Mus musculus: one gene and its partners. The protein of the gene in region 3 interacts with the protein of the main gene of each other region in a biochemical or structural test. Links are inferred from orthologs where the notes say so. Each region holds a gene or a part of one and is shown on either strand. Other genes may lie near its edges.

The links.
Region 1: the proteins of Eps15 (region 3) and Sgip1 form a complex in vitro, tested with the Homo sapiens proteins (2 studies listed by BioGRID, with this or other methods). The link is inferred for Mus musculus from reciprocal best matches to the Homo sapiens genes EPS15 and SGIP1.
Region 2: the proteins of Eps15 (region 3) and Numb form a complex in vitro, tested with the Homo sapiens proteins (2 studies listed by BioGRID and IntAct, with this or other methods). The link is inferred for Mus musculus from reciprocal best matches to the Homo sapiens genes EPS15 and NUMB.
Region 4: the proteins of Eps15 (region 3) and Epn1 form a complex in vitro, tested with the Homo sapiens proteins (4 studies listed by BioGRID and IntAct, with this or other methods). The link is inferred for Mus musculus from reciprocal best matches to the Homo sapiens genes EPS15 and EPN1.
Region 5: the proteins of Eps15 (region 3) and Fcho1 form a complex in vitro, tested with the Homo sapiens proteins (2 studies listed by BioGRID). The link is inferred for Mus musculus from reciprocal best matches to the Homo sapiens genes EPS15 and FCHO1.
Region 6: the proteins of Eps15 (region 3) and Ap1g1 form a complex in vitro, tested with the Homo sapiens proteins (2 studies listed by BioGRID). The link is inferred for Mus musculus from reciprocal best matches to the Homo sapiens genes EPS15 and AP1G1.

The regions. Positions count from the first base shown.
Region 1 is NC_000070.6:102,758,803-102,762,934, reverse strand, and holds the start of Sgip1 (SH3-containing GRB2-like protein 3-interacting protein 1), read right to left. Parts: upstream 2,801-4,132; 5' UTR 2,380-2,800; coding exon 2,370-2,379; intron 1-2,369.
Region 2 is NC_000078.6:83,839,544-83,843,835, forward strand, and holds the start of Numb (protein numb homolog), read right to left. Parts: upstream 2,801-4,292; coding exon 2,675-2,800; intron 2,381-2,674; exon of another isoform or gene 2,311-2,380; intron 1-2,310. UniProt on the Homo sapiens protein: Regulates clathrin-mediated receptor endocytosis. Plays a role in the process of neurogenesis.
Region 3 is NC_000070.6:109,360,275-109,363,774, reverse strand, and holds part of Eps15 (epidermal growth factor receptor substrate 15), read right to left. Parts: intron 2,613-3,500; coding exon 2,451-2,612; intron 2,106-2,450; coding exon 1,908-2,105; intron 597-1,907; coding exon 396-596; intron 1-395. UniProt on the Homo sapiens protein: Involved in cell growth regulation. May be involved in the regulation of mitogenic signals and control of cell proliferation. Involved in the internalization of ligand-inducible receptors of the receptor tyrosine kinase (RTK) type, in particular EGFR.
Region 4 is NC_000073.6:5,078,850-5,083,034, reverse strand, and holds the start of Epn1 (epsin-1), read right to left. Parts: upstream 2,801-4,185; 5' UTR 2,558-2,800; exon of another isoform or gene 2,397-2,557; intron 1,103-2,396; exon of another isoform or gene 1,059-1,102; intron 1,018-1,058; 5' UTR 914-1,017; intron 1-913. Other genes in the region: U2af2 (splicing factor U2AF 65 kDa subunit), read right to left, coding at 3,719-3,853. UniProt on the Homo sapiens protein: Binds to membranes enriched in phosphatidylinositol 4,5-bisphosphate (PtdIns(4,5)P2). Modifies membrane curvature and facilitates the formation of clathrin-coated invaginations. Regulates receptor-mediated endocytosis.
Region 5 is NC_000074.6:71,722,882-71,727,173, reverse strand, and holds the start of Fcho1 (F-BAR domain only protein 1), read left to right. Parts: upstream 1-1,492; 5' UTR 1,493-1,541; intron 1,542-3,829; exon of another isoform or gene 3,830-3,939; intron 3,940-4,292. UniProt on the Homo sapiens protein: Functions in an early step of clathrin-mediated endocytosis. Has both a membrane binding/bending activity and the ability to recruit proteins essential to the formation of functional clathrin-coated pits.
Region 6 is NC_000074.6:109,837,583-109,841,082, forward strand, and holds part of Ap1g1 (AP-1 complex subunit gamma-1), read left to right. Parts: intron 1-160; coding exon 161-216; intron 217-1,336; coding exon 1,337-1,450; intron 1,451-1,729; exon of another isoform or gene 1,730-1,793; intron 1,794-3,005; exon of another isoform or gene 3,006-3,107; intron 3,108-3,500. UniProt on the Homo sapiens protein: Subunit of clathrin-associated adaptor protein complex 1 that plays a role in protein sorting in the late-Golgi/trans-Golgi network (TGN) and/or endosomes.

The DNA of each region.
Region 1 (4,132 bases), about 6.6 Mb from region 3:
ACTGTGTTTATGTGCATGACTGCACATGCATGTGTGACCATGTGTATGTGTCACATAGGCTCTGGCTGAGAACAGACTATGCAGATGCTTGGCAGTGTAATCTCACAAGACACACATGGCATTTCACCTGAGACCTGCTAGGACAGCATTTCTGGCACCTTGGGTGAGTTCTCATCTTTCCAAGGTTATTGTGGCATGTGCAATACCCTGGTATTCTCTGGGGGTGGTTCAATGGACATAACTGCTGTAACACATCTTCGGAGTAAGACAAATTTAGAGCAGGAATTCTGGGATGCAGTATCAGAAATAGACATAGGCGTTGTGAAAAAGACTGGCAATTTAGTTGGAAAGCCACTGACTGGGAAATAGATTTCTGATTAAGGGTCCTACCTGTTTTTCCAAGGTCACTGAACAATTAATAGGAGACCTTTTAAATAGGAATTACAAATAGAAAATGTTTATTCGTTTCACGTGGAATTCGAAAGCAGGGGGCACACCTGTCTAATTTCTCCTGTGGAGATTCATTAGAGGCCGCAGAACCCATCCTGTCATCTCTGATCCCACCAGTGAGAAGATAACATCCTCCATTAGATAAATTGGGCAAGCTAACCACAGTGCTACTTCATCTCAACACCAGTCTTTGTTAGAGTTCCCGTTTCAGTTTCTGCAGCTCAGATAAGCTTATCTTAGGCCTTCAAGCTGATGTTCCGGATGGCACAACAGACCTGATTACCAGGAGAACCACTAGTGATCATCAGGAAATGCTACCAACCTCCAAAGAACTCATGGGATAGTTTCAAGCCCAGAAGTGAAAGAAACGGTCCTCAAATTTCCCATGGAAGATTAGAACTGAATCAGAATGTATGCAGATGCATTTCAACACGTCCTTTGTCAAATTTAGCTATAAAAATAGTACCCTTCTATAGACAAGTTATCTTTTTTTTTTTCCTGATGAGGATAAGTCTTGTGGGCTTTGAATTAAAAAGTATGTAAGTTACACTTTTTCTGTTTATCTTGCCTTGCTAGTCAAAGATTACATTCATTTGGAATTAACTAAAATTGATTTAACCATAGAATCTTAACAATCTCACTTAGCTCTCTGAACACAAGACCAGGCTCTAAACGGAATGATGCGCTGCCTCCATTTAAGGCTATTTCCCTGAATCTATGAGCTTCTACCCCAGAATTCTTCTCTCCCTGGAGTCACACTAATGACATTTGACATGATGACGGGGGGGGGGGGGTGGGAAGGGGGAAAGGAGGGTGGCGGAGAGACAAGGGGAGCTTCACTGGTTTTGTTGAAACCATCTCCCTTTTATTCCAGTTTGGTAAATTGCTAAGGTCCATTGACCATTGGCAACTGGTAGGACAGACCTTGGCTTTAGGTGGCCCCTCTGACATTTCTGTGGCTGATCTGAGACCCATTATGCACTAGGTTCTGCATTATAAAATCTAGCCTGGGTCCAAAATTTCTGCCTGTCATCTTAGGAAAGGCCAGGAGTTTTACCCCATCCTGCAATGTGAAAACAGATAATCAAAGGCAACATAGAGCTGTCTGCTTCTTCTCTGACCAATTTGTTGCTTTTTCTGAGGTGATGTTGGCTGTCACTATCTTAGACTGGAAAGGGCAAGCTGGTAGAATAAAATGTAGTTTAAATAGCATCTCCCAGGGGAAGGTCCTCCCTACACTTAGTATTAAATGCAGTAAGATAATCAGCAACTAATCACTTGATGCTAAACTAAGAGCCATTTCCTCTACGAACTGGTCTGAACCTGATGAAGGAGCAAAGAGGCCCAGGTCTTTTTCTTAGATCGTTCATTCTGCTGCAATGACAGCCCTCATAAAACTCCAGTTTATGAACCAAATTTGTTGCACCCCTCACTCCAATACTATAATGCAAACCTCAAAGATCAGAATATCTTATAAGATATGTAAGCAGTTCACTGAAAATGCCAGCATAGATAACTCTCTCGATGACCTCTTCTGTCTAATATCAATTTCGGAAAATACTTTCCATTGCAAAGATTTAACCAGCGTGCTTAACCTTCCACAGAAACCCCTTATCTTCTTCCCCAACTTGTTTGTTCTGAGACCTTATTCTTGGCTGCCTCAGCTCTCTGCAAACACTTAGGCTTTTCTCTTTTCAAAGAGGCTGGGAGCTGTGGAGATTCTGAGCTAGACAGAAACCCTGTGGTTTGATTCCATTAGTCTAAGCCTGGGCCCGGTTGCAAGCAAGCTGCAGTATCTGCTTGCAAAAATCCTGGCAGCCAGGTTCTAGACACAGACACCACGGGCTGCATGCATTCTTCCATACTGGTCTACCCAAATCTTGCCTGGAGCCAGCCAACCACAGCAGAGGGAATCCTACCTTCCATCATGGTGGCAGAATTGCATTCCTTATTTTCCAAGAAGTCAGAAAAAACACAGGAGGATACGCTTCCAGGTCCCAGCTAAGTCCTCACAAAGCTGCCGCTGAGGTCTGCTCTGCTTGCTGCCAAGCCAAAGGAGACAAGTGTTAACCCGAAAGACCGGCCATGGATGCAGCTAGTGCTGCTTCACCTACAGTCTCCCAGGAAGATGCTGTGAGAGAAAGGCAGAGAGGAACAGCAAGCCGGCGAGCTGCACCGCCTGCGCTGCCTCGGCCAATCCCTTCAGCTCTGGACCGCGTCACATGGTAGCCAGCCTGCATCTCCTGACACAATACCCCCGGAGAGCGCACGGAACCCATTTCCCGTCCCCATTGCTCGCTACCCCCACTGCCTCCCGCTCCTCTCCAAACACACAGCCCCTTCCCCACCTGGTGACGCACTTCCCCCGCCCCTCCTCGTGGTCCTTGCAAGCCTATTGCGGCTCTGGGGCGCCCGATGATCTGAACTGCCACCCTGACAGGGGATGCCAGCAAGAAAGAAGCCCAGGAGGCTGATCCCAGGGATTTTTTTTTTTTTTTCGTTTTTCTCTCTTTTACTTATTTTTTTAAGAAAACACTTCTTAGTAATTCCAGATCTTAGCAACACACGTTTACACTCCCATTCCAACCTCACTTTGACCTGAAGGAATTTCAAATGTCAGCGCTTGGCCTCTGTGCACATCTGTCATCTGTGGCTGGCTCGCGCTCTCTTTAGGTCTCTCTGGCCCCCACACCCCCCGCGCCCTGTCTCTCTGTCTAGGTCTCTCTGTCTCTCCTTGTGTGTCTCTTCCTCTCATTCACGAGAGAAAAATCAATTCGCTGACGTCACATCATAAACAACCATCCCCCAAAGGATGATGCAGGAAAAAAAATTCATCCCAGCTGCCTTGAAAGGAAGCAGGAAATTAATTGCGCATGACATGCCCAAGGGCTGGCAACTGTCATTAAAACAAAGAAACAAAAGAACCCACCCGATTCGGGCTCTGGAATCAAACAGGCGATGCTCCAGCTCATTTCTGGGGCGAGAGGCGGGAGAGGGGGATTGAAGGCAAGAGTCTAAGCGTTGGCCGCCTCAGGCGTGCGCGAGTCGCCTCCTCCCACGCACTCCGCTCCGCAGCCGCGACCCCGGGGCTGCGGGGGCCCTCCGTCACCGCGTCCTCCAGCCGAGCTGGGCAGACGCCTGCCCCAGGTGGGGAGCCTCGCTTGCAGCCTCGGCTACAGCTGCCAACTGAAGCCGCTGCTACATGGCAGGTTTTGCAAGACGCTCCTCCTGCAGTCTTCAGTCGCCTAGGAGCCCAGTCGTTCACCCCAAGGGAAATCCAGAGAGGAAGGCAATCGGTCCAGGTTGCGCTGGAGGAATGGGCGGAGCCTGGGCCTTGGCAACTTGCTAGAATGGGGAAAGGTTCAGGCACAAGGTCTGGTGGAGCTGAGGGTCTGTCACCTGAGTGCTATCAAAAGTCCTAGGAGTCCTTCAAAGGGAGGGACTCCCAGGCCTGGTGTCCTGTGATCCTGGGTTTAACCAGGCTAAAACAAAGCAAAAAGAAATAAATTGAATCGAGTAAGGAAGGCCTATCACTGTAGGGAGCAGATGATGAAAAGGCTAGAGAAAGGTCTTTAAACTAAGGAAGAATAGCAAAGCCGGGGCTATGAAAATCTCTTTATTGAAGATCAGGTCAGAAACTAACAATAGGGCTGATCATTTATAACACCCTCACTTAGTATTA
Region 2 (4,292 bases), on a different chromosome or scaffold from region 3:
AAAGTCAAAATCCTTAAGATGGAATTGGGCTTGCTAGTAGAGGTTATCCTGATCTATGTAGCAAGACTCTGTATCTCCCAACTTCCACCCCCAAAATGTTCTAGGCAAATAATTTTTCAGTGTTTAAGGACGGTAATGAGATCATTTGTAGGAACAATACTTCTAGCTAGTAGGCAAGGGCCCAAGAATGAATATATGACACATCTAATATTGGGCACTTGTAATATAGAAAAAGCTTACTCAGAGTATCTTTTACTGACTCTAATTCTATTTTAAATATGCACACATGCAGTGACTTTCACACAAATATAACTAAGTCAATCAAGAGAAGACTGTTAAAAAAAAAAAGATTAAAAAAAAGGGGGGAGGGGCTGGAGAGATGGCTCAGCGGTTAAGAGCACTAACTGCTCTTCCAGAGGTCCTGAGTTCAAATCCCAGCAACAGTGTACTCATATAAATATAATAAATAAATCTAAAAAAAAAGAGAGAAGACTGTACATGCTAGATACAAATTTTAGCAAAATTTACTTCTTCATATACATAATTGAATATAAATAGTAATTTAGAATTTATAAAGAGTATTGTATCAAAAAATGCAGCTAGTAGGTGTGATATTATTTGAAAGTACTGAACTACTGAATCTACCTTCTACCTACCTGCTTTCATGGCTCCCTGCTCCTCTGGTTCTATACAAGGTGGTTTTCTCTGTGCCCCTTACTATGCCAGGTGCCTCTTGCTGAAGAGCCACTCCACTGTTGCTCCCTTGGCTACATTCTGTTTCCTTCAATACCTGAAATGCTTATTTTCTGAATTTCTTTGGGTGTTTTCTGAAATGACATTTTGCCCCCTAATGAGGACTTCCATAACCAAAATATTTTAAACCGTATCAACCCCATTTATTTCTTTCATCCACAATTCCTTTCTGGTATAGCAGATATTGTTTTCTCACACTCTCGCATACACTACCATGAACAACACTAGGTAGAGATCCTGTCTGTGCTGCTCACTGCACTCCTGGTTCCTAGAACAATACTTGGTAGACAGCAGACATTCAGCAATTATCTGTCAAACATATCAATGAATCAATAATATCAAAGAGAAGAAACTGTAGGATATTCCTTAGATTGGCATTAAATTTAATGCCTAATTAATAATGAAAACTTTTAGAACAAGCTCAATATATAGGAGATATAATTACTATTTATAGAAGAGAATGTAAACATTAGTGAAGAAAACATATGTGAAGAAAATGAAATAAAACGTGAAACATGTAAAGAAAATGAAGTAAAAATATCTGATATAAATTTGAAAATAAGTGAAAGTATTTCTTTTTTTTATGATGGAACATCAAGATAATCATCTAGCATTGATGGAACAAGAAATTATAAGTACAGAAGACAAGAGCAGAACTAATGGTGGGAAGAGTTTAAAAGTGAAGACAAGAAGAAGCAAACAGGGCTGGAGAGCTGGCTCAGCAGTTAAGAGCACTGACTGTTCTTCCGAAGGTCCTGAGTTCAAATCTCAGCAACCACATGGTGGCTCACAACCATCTGTAATGACATCTGACCCCCTCTACTAGTGTGTCTGAAGACAGCTACAGTGTGCTTACATATAAATAATAAATATTCAGAAAAAAATAGAAGAAGCAGCAAACAAGCCAGTTAGCCCTGAATGGGAGTGGGGAGGAGAGGCGCTTCTTTTGACTTTTCTTTTGTTGGAGAGTGCTGGAAATAAACCCCTACCTCACTGAAAATGATTTAATTCTTGGTAACTGAGGATCTGTAGACGTCTCAGGACTTATGTTCTCATTAGAAGTGTTCTTACTTGGCCAGACCTGAGAGTGGAGGCTTCTGGGAAACCTCACTTACTCAGGAGCTGAGGAAGGACGATCACAAGTTCAAAGCCTACCTAAGGGCTACAGAGTAAGTTCAAGGACAGCCTAGATAACTTAGTGAGATCCCTTCTCAAGGAAGTAAAAAGAAGGCAGGGATGTAGCCCAGTGGTAGTGGGCTTGCCAAGCACACTCAAGGCCCATAGTGAGCTCCTAGGAGTCCCACCAACCCACACACAAACTGTTCTCACTTATACTTGTTCCAGATTATGTAGCACACAGCCTTATTTAAATAACTTAAACACAAAAAGAAAAATCACTAACTGCACAATGTATTTTTTTCTTATTTAATTCCATCACTGAAGCAGAATACGATTTTGGAAGGCTCCTTCACTAGCGTGAGTCATAGGATTACATATTCTATGGGCTATCAGTTTTTTGTTTGGTTTGCTTTTATGTTTTTGTTTATTTCCCCACAGAGAACCACAAAGATATGTGTTATAGTCTCCCCTCCCCCAGCCTGAAACCTGCTTGCTCAGGGGTGGAGCTTCCCGCTCAATCTTTCTGCCACGCCTACTGCTGGAACCTGCCGCTTTGCTGTTCTGAAGGCATCACGTGATCACCCTGCTACTGGATTATTTGGCGGGAATTGGGCCCCTCCCCCTTCCTTTATAACTGAGTGCCGAAATAGTAAAAATTGAACCTTGAGCAGAGAGCTTTGTCTGGGTTCCTTCCTTATCTCCCGAAGCCCAGCCCCTCTTCTCTTCCAGGTTTCCAAAATGCCTTTCCAGGCTAGAACCCAGGTTGTGATCTACTGGCCAGACACAACAATGTGTGTTTTACCTTAACTGGGAAGCTACACTTTCCAGTGCGGACTCCTTCTTCATCTGTCTGCCACTGATGTGGACGGCTGGCCTCTGGGACATAAACGTCTTTCTTTCTCCTGAAGCTTTGCCGTAGTTTGTTCATGTTAACTTTTACAACCTGAAGACACAGTGAAGAAATACCAAAGTTACTTCTTACACAAACTTCAGATGACCATTTTAGTACAAAACCCACCCCAAACCCTGAGGGCCCACACGAGGGTTATAGCTTAGTATGTTAGCATACTTCCTCTCGGAGTGACAGTGAGTCTAAAACTGCTCTCAGTCCGCTTTTTAAAGACAACTACAGTCCCCTCCAATGACAACTGCCCCAACAAGGGCGGCGTTTAACTTCTCACCTGCTTGATACCTCTCAAATGCCGGGATTACAGCCATGCCCTACTGTGCCTCAGTTTGGTGCTAAGGACTGAACTAATATTTTGTGCCTGCCAGGCACACATTTTGCCAACTGAGTTAGTTACATGCCCAACTCCCCATTCTTTCTTCCTGTGGCCTTATCTACCAATGTTACCTCTTTAATATCTAATTCACTCCATGCCCTTTGTCCCATGATTCATTCATTCTCAGACTCTTCCCCACCCCCTTCATTTGTAGCTATCTTTATTACTACTGGTAGACAAAAGAAAGATTCAAGTCTTCCTGATTTGATGGATATTAGGTAAGAGCCAGGAGAGCTCATGGTGCTTGGGTGAACAGTCACTCTTTTTCTAGTCTGTAGGGCAAGCGATTAAAACTACAGCCCCGCACATCCCAGGCAGGCAAGCACTCTGTGTCTTGGAGCCTTTCCTGTCACTTTTCTCTCTTCCTCTCTGCTCACTCCTCATGGAACCTGGTGGGGATGGAACCCAAAGGCAAAGCCACCTCCCCCAAATCCCTGATTTTTCTTTGTGGTACCTTTGCTTAATTACTGTCTCAAACTAAAACATGTCTTTGTTTACATTACCTACCTATTCCCAGTGAGGTAAAGTCTGCAAGGACAGGATACTGTCCTGTTCCCTGTTTATGCCTGCCTTCCTGGAACTGATCAGTAGAGGAGTTGCTCACATATACTTACTGAATGAATGCTGTTCAACCAACACTCACGATTAATAAACCATGCATGCCTGAGGTTTGGGTCACAATCTAGCTTATGTAGTAACTGGGGCACCCTGTAAGCTTTACAATGAGACAGACCTGAGTGAATGCTGTGCTGCCAGAGATGGTGATGTGACTGATGCAAGTAAACGGAAAGTTCTAATCCTTAGTTTATATGTCTGTCAGATATGGTAGTAACTGTTAATTCTCAGGGTCACTGTGAGGGTCAGAAATAATGTTACCTAAAGCAGCTAATGTTTCAAAAGGGAACTCTTGTTGCTGGGACTGGCCTTGAACTCTTGATCCTCTTTTCTAAGCCTCTCAGGTAGACAGGCCTGTATGTGGCCAGTGTTCAAATCAACTATTTTGAGACTTTTTTGTTTAACTTATTGCAAAAGGCCATTACTTAGACTGCTTCAAATAAAGGCCCATTTCATTCTAATCTGGTCTGACTACTGTTTTCTAAAACATCAATCTGACTGTACAACTACTCTACTTTAAAA
Region 3 (3,500 bases):
CTATTATATACAATGCTGATAAAACACTGCTCTGGGGCTGGAGAGAGCCTATTTGATAAAGAGCCTGCTGCTCAAGTGTGGACTGAGTTCAGATCCCCAGCATCCATGCAAAAAGCCAAAAGTGGTGGTGTGTGCTTGTAAACCCAGAGCAGGGGTGATGTAGACAGACAGACACCTGGGGCTTCCGGCCAGTCACCCTAGTCTAATTGGTAAGCTCTAGATCTCCGAGGCCCTATTTTTTTAAAAACAAGTGAACAGCATCTAAGGAGTGACACTTTGAGGACGCCCCCTGGTCTCTGCACATAAGTCTGTACACACTAACTTTGATCTTCATCAATCTGTGGGGGGAGTCGAGGGGGAAACTTAATAATAAACACTATGAAACAAAAACTCACTGAGGACTCCTGGTGTGTGGGTTCAGACTCTAGGTTGTTTTGGCCTTCAGCATGTTCGTTGAAGTTGGCTGTTTCACTGCTGCTGGTGCTGAGGCTACAGTAATCTGTAGCACCATTAACAAGAACGCTTTGTGGGCTACTGCTCCAATTTGATTGGTTATTATCAGTTTCCAGATCTTTCATTTCCAATCTCATTTGCATCTGCCAATACAAAGTAGAAATACAAAACAATTTAATCCTAGAAATAAATATATCACAAATATCTATGCCCCTAGACTAACTCAGGGATGAGTTTGCTTCCTATTAGCAGATTCCTCTAGGAATGAAGCATGACTTAAAGGCTTCAATAATCTCTCCCAGTGAGTCCTCCTGCAATGTCAGCATGCATGCATTTGTTTTTGTAAGCCTTATGAAATTTCTGTCAGGTCTCTGAGAACTACTTCTTCTAAAAAAATAAGTCACACAAAGTCCAATAAACAAAGGATAAAGCTGTTTTGACCTAAACTAGTCAAATGAATTCAACCGTAAGACACAAATGGAAGAATCAATATATAATAATAAACAGATACAAGAAAACTAAATGATTTCACTAAGAAAAATTGATCTAAAAATTGGAATCCCAAAAAAACCCAGTAAGTTGTTCAGTGTCTTAGAGTTATTACTGCTGTGATGAAACCTCATGACCAAAGCAACTTGGGGAGGAGAAGGATCATTTGGCTTACACTTCCACAGCATTGTTCATCATTAATGGAATTCAGGACAGGAACTCAAACAGGGCAGGAACCTGGAGGCAGGAACTGATGCAGAGGCCATGGAGGAGTGCTGCTTACTGGGTGGCTCCTCATGGCTTGCTCAGCCTGCTTTTTTTTTTTTTACAACCCAGGACCATCAGCCCAGGGATGGCACAAGCCACAATAGGCTGAGCCCTCCCCATCAATCACTAATTAAGAAAATGTCTTTCAAGCTGGACATAGTGATATGCCTTTAATCTCAGCACTTGGGAGGCAGGGGAGGGTAGATTTCTGTGAGTTCAAGACCAGCTTGGTCTACAAAGTGAGTTCCAGGATAGCCAAGACTGTTAGAGACAAGACCCTGTCTCAAAAAAGAAAAGAAAAAAATGCCCTGCAGGCTTGTCCCATCTCACAGAAGCATTTTCTCAATTGAAGCTTCTTTTCCCCATGACTCTAACTTTTTTACCTCATGTTTTGCCTCATTTAATCCTTATAATAGCCCTAATAAGTAGGTTTGTTGTTAAATCTTCAACTTTAAAGATAAAAAAGCTGATACTCAAAAGTGATTCGCCTATGAAATGACAGAGCCAGCATTTAAACCTGAACAGCTTTAACTACAAAGCCCCTACTCTAATCTATTATGTAAATGACCATTAGACACCAACTTTAAGTATTAAACAACCAGAGATACTAACTAGGCAGAGGAAGAAGGGGCAGGTGTTAGAAAGTTACAACAAGGACACACAAGGCCCCTCTGGGCATTCTGCTGGTTTCCACTTACTGAGCTGATTTCCTGTTGTGACTCTTGTAGGTGCTGCTGAAGAGGTTCCAGCTGAGCCTTCCCTGACTCCACACTTTCTTCCAATTGTGCTGTTTCTTGTTGTAGGCGACTTAGTTCTTCTCTAGCTTTCAACAGTTCTTCCTCATAACTGGAGATCTGAGATTCTTGACTAGTTATTTCTGCTTTCAGGGAAGAAATCTATAAATGGAGATGAATGGGAGATGGAATTAGACACGAGATGTCTAGTTTAGTGGACTGGAACTTTTGAGGTATTCTTTTGGCAGTGAAAGTTAACAGGGAAGGGGCCAAAAGCAACTCAGAGGCATCTGTGTAACACAGGTAACATCTGTGTAATCAAGAGCTGGAAAAATATCACCCTTCTAATTCCTACTACAGAGAACTATAACTCTTCATAAGCATCCTTCCAACGCCTTCATAAAGCAGCTGCTGGCTACAGTGCCACTAACAAGCAGGCAATGTTTTCTTTCTAAACCAGGAACAAGATGGAGGTAGCAAGTCGGTCAGTAAGCAGCCAGGCTTTACCAGCTGGGCCTCCTCAGCACACTTTTTCCTGACTTCCTGGAGCTGCTCCTCCAGCTGGGCTTTCTGCTCATCCAGTTCACCCAGGAGCTCCTGCACCTGCTGCTTCTGGGCCTGCAGTTTTTGTAGATTAATACTCTCCCTTTGAACTTCATCTTGAAGATCCTGAAACACAAGAAACACATTTATCTCTTTGAGGGCATGGAAAGGTAAGATTTTAAGTCTACTTTAAGGGAAAACAGTCTTGTTTATTAAGTATTTTGTATTGGAGGACTAAAGCACTTGATTTTACATGCAGTCTTCAAGTGACCTCTTCTGGATTTGGATCTCTAGTCTGCTTACTCAGATAGGTCCTTGGATGTCTAACTGACTGCTATGTGTCAAAACAGAGCTCTTATTATTTCCTGAATCTGCTGTAACCTCGGTCTTCTAGTGAAAACCATGGCATCTTCTTCCACTTTTTTCCTTCCACTTCCCTTTCTCTTCTGTGTCAGGTCTGCCAGCAAATCCTTCCCTGCAGTGCTGGTTTCAGTCATCTTCATCTCTCTCAGAGAGTTACCTTTCAAGGGGTTATGCTGCTTCACCTCAGCTACTCTTACATGTATTTTCAGCGCCCTAGCCCCTTTTAAAAAGCCTTTTGCCTTCTGGGACTGAGCAATGCTAGATCCTTGGGCTTCCATTCACAGCTGCTGCTGAGCATTGTTGGGAGTTAGACTACAGACTAAGCTATCAACAAATTCCCTTACTATATGACTACTCATAAGTTCTGTGACTCTAGAGAACCCTGACTAATACAGAAGTTGGTGGCACACACCTTTAATCCCAGCACCTCCAGAGGCTGAGACAGAATAGATCTCTGAGTTTGAGGCTAGCCTAGTGTACTGACTAGTTTTATTGTGTCAACTTGACACATGATAAAGCCATCTGAGAGGCGGGAACCTTAATTAAGAAAACACCTCCATAATATACAGCTATATGGCATCTTATTAATTATTGATTGAGATGGAGGGTGGTACAATCCCAGGACTAGCGGTCTAGGTTCTATAAGAAAGG
Region 4 (4,185 bases), on a different chromosome or scaffold from region 3:
GAAGCTGGCTGGGAAAAACCATTCAATCAACAGTGCAGGAAGGAAATTGAGAAAGAAAGAAAGAAAGAAAGAAAGAAAGAAAGAAAGAAAGAAAGAAAGAAAGAAAGAAAGAAAGAAAGGAAGGAAGGAAGGAAGGAAGGAAGGAAGGAAGGAAGGAAGGAAGGAAGGAAGAAAGAAAGAAAGAAAGAAAGAGAGAAGCAAACAACCCTGGGACAGGAGTCATGGCAAAAGAGGCCAATGATGGGATTTAAAAAAATGGTAGGGAGACAGAGGAGATAGCCTGAGGCAGTGGGAGACTGGGGAGTGGGGGTGCCCAGGGGACTAGGTGTCCAGAGGGTAGGGAGGGAAGCTCAAGGGAGCAGAGAGATAAGAAATGTAGGAGTCCCCACTAATGGATACCAACTGTGCCACGAGGCACATATCATCTAACAATGAATGTAGACAATGGCCTCATGGAAGTTTAATAACTTGGTCAAGGTCATATCATAAATGCAAAAGCAGACTCAACAATCAAACCCATATTACCTGTATAAACTCATTTTTTTGTGGGTTGGGGGGAGGGGGTGACACAACATCTCTCTACATGGCCTTGACTGTCCTGGAACTTGAAGAGCTAAATCCATGTGTCCCTCCCCTCCCAAGTACGGAGTTAAAGGTGTGTGCCATTAAACTCATGCTTTTAAATTAACCTAAATAAACTAACCTGTGCTGTGACCAGCTGTCAGAAAGCATCAAGGGCAGAAATCAAGCAAATGAGGGGAATATTAACAAGCACTTCCACAACCTTTACATCCTTCTAGGCACCCATTAAGTCCTTTGCGCTATCAACTCAATCCTTACAAATCCATGACTCACAGCCACTTTACACAGGAGGGAACAAGGGCACATTAGCACCTTGCCCAGGGACACACACCTCACAACTGGAGCAGCCTGGGTCCAGAGTAGACTCCGATCACCAGTCTGTGCCTCTCCAACAAGCCATGGAGGGAGATTTACTGAGCCCTACCATGATCCAACCTGAAGGAAGACATAGGAGAATAGGAAAGGCTGCTCTTTACCTTGAATTCAGGCCAGAAAATGGAGCACCTGCAAACAGGCATAACTAGGCAAAGAAAAAAAAAAAAAAAAAGCAGCTGGGTCCCAAGTCAGGCCTGGACAGACACCAGAAGACAAACATATGACAAACATAAGGAGACTGGGGGAGGGGAGAGAAAGGGAGGGAGAAAGGGAGAGAAAGAGGGAGGGGGGGAGAGAGAGAAGAGAAGAGAAGAGAAGAGAAGAGAAGAGAAGAGAAGAGAAGAGAAGAGACACACCAAAACTCGGGCAAAAAGAAAGCAATACAGCGAGGCAGGAGGACAGGGAGGACAGAAAGACAGGGACCCTGAAACAAAACACACACATGACACCCAGGGCTGGGGGGGGGTGGGAAGAGATATAACTTAAAAGAACACAAAATTTGCACTCAAATCCCGGCCACATAAGCAACCAGCAAAACAACCCTGTGACTCAGTTCACCTAACTGTGTAACAAAGGGAGGGGTGCTGCCCGGCAAGCTTGCTGATTAAATAAGACGGGTACATAAAGAACTTGGTTCTGTGCCCCACAGATAGTAGGCGCTCGGTACTCCTGGCTGCTATTATTATCAGAAAAAACATTTCCAAAAGGGTGGCATCTAAAGACGCACTATCCTAACACCAACTACCTACTTCAAGCATGTTCAAAAAAAACATACTAAATCTCACAAATGCTGCTGAAAATGGGGCCATTTTCCACAGTTAATTTAGAATTTCTTATTAAACAGTACAAACAATATAGTGAGTCCCCAAGGGGGACTCAAAAACCTGGTATCAAATACTAAGCGAGACAAAATCTCTAGTAACTAGAGCTACTAATAATCACATGCTTAACTCCAGGCCAGACACTGTAAGGCACTTTACCAGGACCACTCCAATGCGCAGAGACCCTGTGGTGCAGGAATTATGAATGCTTCCGTTTAGAAGACTAGGAAAACTGAAGACCAAGGCAAGCAGCGGGGGCTTTGGAATCCACAGCCAGAGCTCTTGTCAGAACACCAGAGACTCAGAAACCTGGGAAGCACATCCTAAGCAAAAGCAGTGGGTTCCTAGAAAGGAATTTTGGGCCTGGGGACGACAGCAATGACCCGGAGAGAAATAATGCACCAAGAGGGAGACCAGTCTGGGGAAATGAAGACACAGAAACCCAGAAAATACAAGCATTGCATGCATCCTGACAGGAACACGGAGCAATCCAAGACACAAACAGCACTCGGATCTCCAAGCCCTTTTGTACAAACACAGAAACACAGAAGCAGAGCAACACAGACAGCAGGGCCACGCGAGACGGGGACACTGACAATCCCAAAAAAAGACACACACCGGCAGGCAAACCCGACCCGGGCACAGCGGTACAAAAGCAGCCACAAGCCATCAGCGGCTGGAACACCGGCTCCGAGGCTGGCTGGACCCGCGCGCGCCACGGCCCAGGCCGGAACACCGGACTTGCCGCGACGGAGGCCAGCATTGCGCCCCTCGCTCACCTCGGCCCGCTTATACCGGGCTTCCAGGGGTCATGACGGTCAGCCCCCTGCCCCCGCTCGGCCTCGGTGTCGCGGGGCGCGCGCCGAGCTGCGGGAAGCAGAAGTGCGCACGTGCGCACGCACAGACGCACGGAGGGCCGCACAGCGACGGCCCCGCCGCCCCGGCGCCCGGGAGGGGCGCAGAGAGCCGGGCGGGGGAGGGGAGCCGCCGAGCGGACGGGAAGCAACCGAAGGTGGCAGCGGACCGGAAGCGGAAATGAACTCACGTGCCCCGCCCTCTGCACTTCGCCCGGCAGCCTCCACTTCCGCGACCAAACCCACCCCGGCACCATTTCCGGCGCACGGGACTGCGCGTCCTTATGCCCTTGCGTCACTTCCGCATCTACGCAGCAGTGGAGACGCGTAAAGGTCCAAGCCTTGAAGCCTCCACTGTGGCTACCCTCGCGGGACCCTCAGGCCTGCCTCCTTCCCTGGGTGCCACCCTCCACACCCTCGGCCGAAAGAGACGGGCGGACACACTGGACACAGATGAGGATCCATAAAGTAAAATACAACAAAATGTTTAATGAGCAAATTCGTATTAGCAAATATGAAACTGCCACAGAGAGGGGGAGCGGGACAGAGACCACGGGTTGAGTCAGGAAGACTAAGGAGAAGAACCAACTACTTAAGAAACCAGGGTGGAGAACAGGAAGGACCAGAAGCCAAAGGACGGGAGCTGTGGTCCTGCAAAGGGAGAGGGCAGGGCACTGAGGGCCAGACAACAAAATTCAAAATAGTTTGGCCATAAAATATAAACACGCTATGTTCCTACCATGGGGGAAGAGAGGAGGAAAGGGGTGTAAGGGATAAGAGGCTGTTTGGGAAGGGGCTGTGGAGGTCCTACCCGCCCTGCTGTGCACACAGTCCCCATCCCAGCCCGTTCCCTCTGTGTCTGTGTGGGTGCATGTGTCTGTGTGGGCCTGTGTGCACTTGCCCAGTCCCCTTCCTGCCCTAGCCCCCCACCCCCCACCCCCCTTAATTGCTGCCATTCCAGTTGCTGCCGGCTGTCATTCGGCTGTCACTCCTCTGCCCATCTTCTTCAAGAGGGGGGAAAGGAGGAGGGGACAGGTGGGGGGAAAGTCCCCAGCCAGCCCTGCCCCCACCCTCCCCCAGCCACCTCTACCAGAAGTCCCGACGGTGGTAAGAATCAGGGTCACAGTATTTTGTGACCACCACTCTGTTGGCGAACTTGCGACCGGTTAGACCCTGCATGGCTTTCTGGCAGTCAAACACAGAGGTGAACTCCACGAAGATCTGTAGGAACAAGAGGCATATCTGTGAACAAGGTTGGCTCCTAGCATCTACTCAGCATTCATTTAAAGTACAGAATCAGCACAGGAAATGAGAGAACACCTCACCACACTGCACAGAGGACTTCAGTTCAGTATGAGGGTGTTTACCCAAACGTTCTCCAGTACCCAAGAACAAGGCACAGAAGCGAGACATCACAGAAATGAAGAAAACCAGGCAGGCCTGAGTCACTTAAGTACACGGGGCAGTGGCCAGAGGCAAGACCCCAGAGGAGAGAAGGGGTCACTTCTGCATCATGCACCCTACAGTGTTCCCCAAGCCACAACTGTCATGTT
Region 5 (4,292 bases), on a different chromosome or scaffold from region 3:
TCCCATTTCCTGTGTCCTCATCACGGAGATACGACTGAGTCATGTCGAGAATGAGGGCTGCTATGGGGGTGCACACCCCTGAAAGGGCCTGGGAAGTCTTGAGTTCTAGACCAGCACCTGCCTAGAACCAGTCAATGACAGGTGACAGTGATCACAGGTCAAAACCTGTTCCATCCGACTCTGATGGCTTTGCTTCAGCCCCTGGAACCCACCCTACTCCAGCTCTGGACACAGCAATGGCATGCATGCACACATCCACACACATATGGGGAGGAGAGAGAGGGAGGAAGGAAGGGAGGGAGGGAGGGAGGGAGGGAGAGAGAGAGAGAGAGAGAGATGCTTTTCTTACCATTCTCAAATCCCAGAACCCAAAGGTGACTCGAGGGCTCTTGGGCCAACAAAAGGACATGTGAAAAATGTGAACAGCATGGAGAATGGAGAGCGGGCTATCTTACCAATTGTGGCAGATGGTCACCAGTCAGCTGGGTGTGGGGCCTATCTAAATGTTTAATCTTTATTGTTTGAATTGATGCATAAATTGATTAATTGATTCATTGGTAGTGTGCACATGCCACAGGTTAGAGGATACTTTTCAGGACTCTCTCAAAAAATCCAGGCTTTGCTACAAGCATCTTTGCCCACTGAGCCATCTCACCGGCCCTGAAGCTAGTATTTAGCTATGTATGGTTGCCATCAGAACCCGGCATCATTTGGGGCAGAGCTGCAGTAGATGGTTCAAGTAAGAAGTGGGGCAGCCTCAGTCTGGGATGGACCTGGATTTGATTCCCACCACAGGAAAATGCCCAAACTGAGGTGTCTGGGGTCCAAGGCTGCAGGGGCATGTACTGGAGATGAAGGGCACTTAGCTTTCTGGTTGTGCCCAGGCCAGTGGTCCCACTTCCTTGGAGGTGCTTCTGGGGCAGGGAGAGAGATGGCTCAGTAGTCCTGAGGATCATCATGCTGCCATGTGACCCTGAACAAGAAACGGAGCCCAGGCCGGGGAGTTAAGTCTCTCGAAGTTGTCATATGGGAGTGGAGTGGACATGTGGCTCTTGCTTAATGCTGGGGCAGCCTGGCTTCATCACCAGCACACAGCCTGAATAAATAAATGGCATGTCACATGAATGGATAGACCAGAGTTGCTATATGACCTCCAAAGCAACTCCTAGCCATGTTCCTTGATTCCTTTGTTTGTAAAATGAGGCTCAATATTAAATGTCACCTAATTCACAGCCTCGGAGGGGTTCTCCAAAGAGCCATGTATGCAGTAGGTACTTAATAAAAGCTATCCCCTCTTTCCCTCCCAGTCTCCCGAGAGACTTGACAGGTGCAGAGATCAAGGAGCTTCTCCTGTCACTTTAAAATATGCAAATAGCCTGCGGATGAATTTCCAGGCTCAGCCAACCAGTGCAGGGTTTATGAAGCACCGCGGGGCGGAGCTCCTCCTGACCACACCCATGGCGGGGCCAGCAGCGCGCTCCGCAGCGCGCGGGGAGGGCGGGGCGCGGGTCTGGAGCGCGCAGGTAGCGCCGCGAGAGGCGGTGAGTGTCCCCGGCGCGGGGCTCCGGTGCGGGGTGCGGGGTGCAGGACGCGGGGGCGGGGTGCGGGGCGGGGACGCAGCCTCCATCCTGACCCGGCCCGAGCGCAGGTGCCGTCTGCAGAAGGCGGGGCGCCACTCTATGGCATCTCTCAATCCTGGGCTGGGAGGCTGAGACCCCCCCCAGGACCCCCAATCCCTCTTCCGGGTCTCTAGCCTGGCCCTAAGCTGGGGGCCGCCTCCCTCGCTGCCCCTCTTCCTCGCCTGGGAACGAGGGTCTCCTCCTTTCCTTTGCACCCGCTCTAGGGTTGGTAGGCTGGTGGGGGTTCTGTAGGGCGAGTGTGGTGGAATTGCGGGGTATCTGGAGTATGGAGCGCGGGATCCCCTCCCGGGGGAACGGGGCCTGGAGAGGCCTGGAGCCTGCACCAGGGACTCCCGCGCCCTGTTAGGGGGGCAGCCGGCATCTGCTCCAAGGGACAGAATTAGTCTAGGTGAATGAGGATGGGGTGCAGAGAAGGTCGGGGATGGCCGCCCCTCCACTTGCCCTCAGCGTCGCAGGACCTGCTTCATGGTGACCTTGGGCAGGTGACAGCACCTCCCTGATCCTTAGTCTCCTCCTCAGAATATAGAGGTTGAGGAAGCCAGACTATCTGTCTCAAATTCCCAACACCTGTGCCCCATTTTCTCCAGATGGGGACCACAATCTTTAGTCAAATGTTAGGGCACTCTGGTTTTGGCACTTTAAAAGGGGTTGAGCCTGGTGTGGTCATTACAATCCTCTGGTGGCTGAGGCTGGAAGATCTGCAGCTTGAGGCCAGCCTGGGCTACATTCACAGACTCTGCCTCATTAAAAAAGCATAAACAAAACAAACCATGATTTTGATTGATGGATACAGTCTAGCCTGGGGCGGAGCAGCGAGACCTAAGGCCAGCAGAGGACAGTTTCTATCTGACCATAAGATGGACGGGCCTCCAATCAAGACCCAGACTTTGTCACTGTGGTCCCACCCATGTGGCTGCCCAGGTCACACCCTGACCCACATACCATCACCTACAATAGGGTTCCTAGGCTGGTTCCTGGGCGGGGTCCCAAGTGGAAGGTCAGGTCTTAGTCCCTGCCTCTTGCAGGATAGTAGGGTGAGTCCCAGGCAGGAAGCCTGACACCCCCAAATTTGTGTGCCCAGACTGGACTTAAACTGAGCCTTCTGTGAAGTGGACTGAAAGTCTGTAGGAAGATCAGAGGTGGTTGTGGGAGTGACAGCGCGCCGTAAACACCCACTCCTATGATAGTAATTATGATATTGCATTCATTAAATGGGGTCACAGCCAAGGAGGCAGTGAGATGTCTTTGAAGGGTGTGACCAGTGTCACTAGCACCCCAAGGACTTGGGTACACAGTGGTGCTCAAAGTATGTGTGACAAATGAAATGACTCAGTGGAAGGCTTGCACAGTGGCCTCAGTTTCCCTGTAGATTTCTGGCTGGTGTGGGAGGGGAGGCAGTGAGGGTCACACTAGGGATCAATGGCTGTGGGCACAGCCAGCCTGTATCCAACCCCCAGAGTGCAGCTCTGGTCTAGTCTTGCCTGGCTCAGTTCCCTGGTGCTGTTCACCCACCTAAGCCTCAGGTTTTGGGGACTCGGTGTCAGGAGATGGGGTGCTTGCTCTGTGCCTCTGAGCAGTGTCTGTCCCTGGACCTTATTCTAGTATTGTAGAGCCCAGAAAGCCCCAGGTTACATTAGGTAAACTGTCTTAGGCTAAAACATTTTCAGAGGCCTCTATTGGTGTTTTAACTTCTTTCCAAATCACACGGTTTAAAAACACAAAACGAAACCCCAAGAACAAGGGGCTGAGAGACGCCTTGTAGTACTTAATATTTACACCACACCATCACCCTAGCACCCAGAGGAGGAGACAGGAGGATCAAAAATGTGAGGCCATCCTCTGCTACATAGTGAATTTTGAGGCCAGCCTCAGCTACTTGAGACCATTTCTAAAAACAAACTTTAATCTGTTGATCCTAAAGTAATTGTAAGAATATTTGAGTTTCCCTTTCTGAGGGTGAGGCTTCACCTGTCTTCAAGCCTCGGTTTCCACTCATGGGCATACTGACCTAGCGCAGGCCAAGGTAGACACTTGTGGCTGTCTGTCTCTCTGGTAATGATCATGTCGCCTCCAGTCTGCTCCCTCACCTCCCCCATTTGTGTGGCTGCCCTGTGACTATGGGGAGGTCCCAGGGATGCTGGGCGGGGAGGTGACGGTTGGGTGGCAGGCAGGGCGGGCCAGGCTTCCTGTCCTCCCCCAGACACAGAGGCCTCCAGTTAGTGCTGGCGGAAGTGTCAGGGGTCATAGCCTCCCGGTGCCTACCCCATCCTTCAGGGGCCCCAACTCTCAGTGCCCATCGGTGAGTTTGACCCCAATCTTTGTCTCCTCAGAGCAGGAAGTTATCCCACAGCCGTGGCTCCGGGTCTGGGGCCAACGGTCGGTCTGTCACTTCCTGGCCAGGTGGCAGCCTCTGGGCCTATCCTTGGCCCTACTCTTCAGGCGGGAGGCCCTGATCTGGGTGCAGGTTGTGGCCCATCAAGGGCTGCTGGGTAGAGCCAGATGGGTGGTCATGGCCCTGATAGCTGGTATCTAGCCAGGTGGGGTAGGGAACAGCATGAAGTATGCCCCCTAAGAGTGGCTTTTATGTTAGGGTGGCGGGAAGCAGGGTGCTGTCTAACATGAGCTCTGGGGACATTGATGGCTTCCGGGAGA
Region 6 (3,500 bases), on a different chromosome or scaffold from region 3:
TCTCCTTTTGCTAACAATTTATAGATAACCAGCTGCCATCTTTAGGGAGCTTCTACCCAGAGGCCAGAAATTTATTCTTTAGATTAAGAAAACAATATAAATATATCATTTTTATAGATTAAAAAAAAAACAAAAACAAATGTATGCTATTTCTCTTTAGGTTCTAGCCATAAATATTCTTGGTCGATTCTTATTGAACAATGACAAAAATATTAGGTAAGTCAACTGAAAATTTTTTCATATATTTTATATTATAAAAATTAGTATTTTACAGAGTGGCTTTGCTCAAGATTTTATATATATATATATATATATATATATATATATGTATATTATGTATTGTGTGATCTAGAATTTGAAGTAAGAAATTTTAGTTTTAGTTTAGTCTTAAAATTGCTGTTTTGTAAATAATTTGAGGATTTTCTTTGTGGCTTAATGTTTAATTTATAAGTTAAGGGCAAACATCATATAAAGGGCCAAATGGTAAACATTTTAGGCTTTCTGAACCACAGGGTCTTTGTAGCAGTTACTTAATTACATTGCTTTGGTGGAGGTGGTAGTGGTGACAGTTTTGAAACAGGATTTTTCCATGTAGTCCTGGTTGTTCTGGAACTCAATTTGCAGACTAGGCTGGCCTTGAACTTAGAGATCCACCTGCCTCTGCCTCCTAAGTGTTGGTATTAAAGGCAGGCACCACCATGCCCAGCTTTAAATTCAAGTTCTTATAAATAGATAGGAGCAGTTTTTGGTATTGGTATTAAAAAAGAGCAGAAAACATTTAAATGATGAAATTAAAGTAATTTCCTTTTGTACATTGTGGGTAAGGCAGTGTGAAAAAGCATATATACTGTATTTTTTTCTTGGGAAGATTTAGTCAGTTACTGTTAGAAGTTTGAATAGGGCCTGGGGTGGGGGTGGTGGGTGGCGGTGGCGCACGCCTTTAATCCCAGCTCTTGGGAGGCAGAGGCAGGCGGATTTCTGAGTTCGAGGCCAGCCTGGTCTACAGAGTGAGTTCCAGGACAGCCAGGGCTATACAGAGAAACCCTGTCTCGAAAAACCAAAAACAAAAGCAAAACCCCCAAAACAAGAAGTTTGAATGGATGCTGTGAAAGCAAGGCTAGTTCCAAAGACTCCCCACTTGTCCCAACTGTCGTTTCTGCTCCTGTTGCCATAATGATGCTACTTCCTAGTCACTAGCTCTGTGCTCACCTTGACATACTTTCAGATGTGTGCATCTCCTCATCTGTTGGACAGCTTTGTTATTATTCAGACAGAGGGAAAACTTCCTTGAGTTTTACATTTTAGCTTATTTATTATGAAACATTGTTCTGTGCAGATATGTTGCTCTGACATCTCTGTTGAAGACTGTGCAGACAGATCATAACGCTGTACAGAGGCATAGAAGCACAATTGTGGACTGTCTGAAAGATCTGGATGTCTCCATAAAAAGGTAAGAAAGAGAGTCTCTCTCCAGCCTGGTAAGTGGAACAGATTTTTGATAAGGCTGTGTCTGTCCTCTACCAATTTGATAGTTTGTTGAAATTTTGAGAGCCAAGCTTTTAGGTATTTAGTCCCTGTGTTCAGAAAGGAGTTCCAGTTATAGAGACCCGTGGGAAATACTGAATTGTGCACTGAGAGTGCTCTTGGTTCTTAGGTAAAATAATTGGCGCAGTGTACTGGGCCAGTGTTTCCTTAGCAGAGGTGCTGTGTTACGTGTGCTGGAGGATGAAGTAAGGAGTGATCCATCGGCTAAGTGTTTTCCCACTGTGCTGACACTCACATTGCTGACAGTGCACGTTTTCACAGCACCTCATGATCCCAGAGGCAAGTGTGAGAAAATCTCCATGGAGACATGACTGTAGGCAGTTGTCACTCTCAAATGTCATAAATCTCTCTGTTGAGTGGAATCTGGCAGTTCTTCTCATAGAAGTGTGGAATTTATAGTTTGCTTTAGTGAACGTTTACTGTGTTCAAATTCAAGACAAAGGAGATTTAAAGTGATCTTTGAAGTCATTTAGTCAACAAACATTTATGTACACAGAACAAATGCTAAGTGCTTGAACAATCTACAGATAAGACCTAGAATTAGTAATACCAGCTTTTTTTGTTTTGGTTTTGTTTTTGTATTTTGAGACACAGTTTCTCTGTGTATTAGCCCTGGCTGTCCTGTAACTCTCTTTTTGTAGGCCAGACTGACCTTAAACTCAGAGATTCGCCTGGCTTTGCCTCCCAATTACTAGGATTAAAGGTGTGCACTACCATGACTGCTTTAGTAATACCAGCTCTTATGATATTCCCCTCTGGATTACCCCTCTACCACCCCCTCTCCTATGCCCCCTTTGCCTCTATGAGGGCGCTCCTCCACCCATTCACCCACTCCCACCTCACCCCTCAGCACCCCCTGTGCTGGGGCCTCATGCCTCCCTCCCTTCTCATTGATGTCAGATAAGGCTATCATCTGCTACATATGTATCTGGAGTCCTGGCTCCCTCCATGTATAATCTTTGGTTGGTGGTTTAGTCCCTGTGAACTCTGAGTGGTCCAGTTAGTTGATATTAATACTAGCTTTTTTTTTTAATTACGTATTTTCCTCAATTACATTTCCAATGCTATCCCAAAAGTCCTCCCCCCCCCCCCAACTCCCCTACCCACCCATTCCCATATTTTGGCCCTGGCGTTCCCCTGTACTGGGGCATATAAAGTTTGCCTGTCCAATGGGCATCTCTTTGCAGTGATGGCCGACTAGGCCATCTTTTGATACATATGCAGCTAGAGTCAAGAGCTCCGGGGTACTGGTTAGTTCATAATGTGGCACCTACAGGGTTGCAGATCTCTTTAGCTCCTTGGATACGTTCTCTAGCTCCTCCATTGGGGGCCCTGTGGTCCATCTAATAGTTGACTGTGAGCATCCACTTCTGTGTTTGCTAGGCCCTGGCCTAGTCTCACAAGAGACAGCTATATCAGGGTCCTTTCAGCAAACACTTGCTAGTGTATGCAATGGTGTCAAAAATATGGAACGCTTCACGAATTTGTGTGTCATCCCTACGCAGGGGCCATGCTAATCTTCTCTGTATCGTTCCAATTTTTAGTATATGTGCTGCGAGCACTAATACTACTAGCTTTTAAAAGAGCTTTGGAAAAGGGTTTTATGGCACCTTCCTTCTTAGTTAGTTCTCACAGTAAGTCATTAAGAAGCAAGTAAGTTCTGTGCCTGATTAATAGACTCATTAAATTATAGTCATCAAATGATCAGGTGACTATAACCCTTGAAACTTTGACCCTTAAACTTTAACCCTTGAAAAGGGCAATTCTAGAAATAGAAGTCAGACCTTCTTTCTCTTATTTTCGTTGGGCTAGGGTATTTGACAGAAGATGCAACAATAAGAGCTGATCCTCAAGCCAGAGCTGTTTCTCATTGTGACTCCACACCTAACATTTTCCCTACCTTTTCATTACACTGTTGCCTCTGATGTAAAATGTAGGTAGAGGGCCACCCAGTT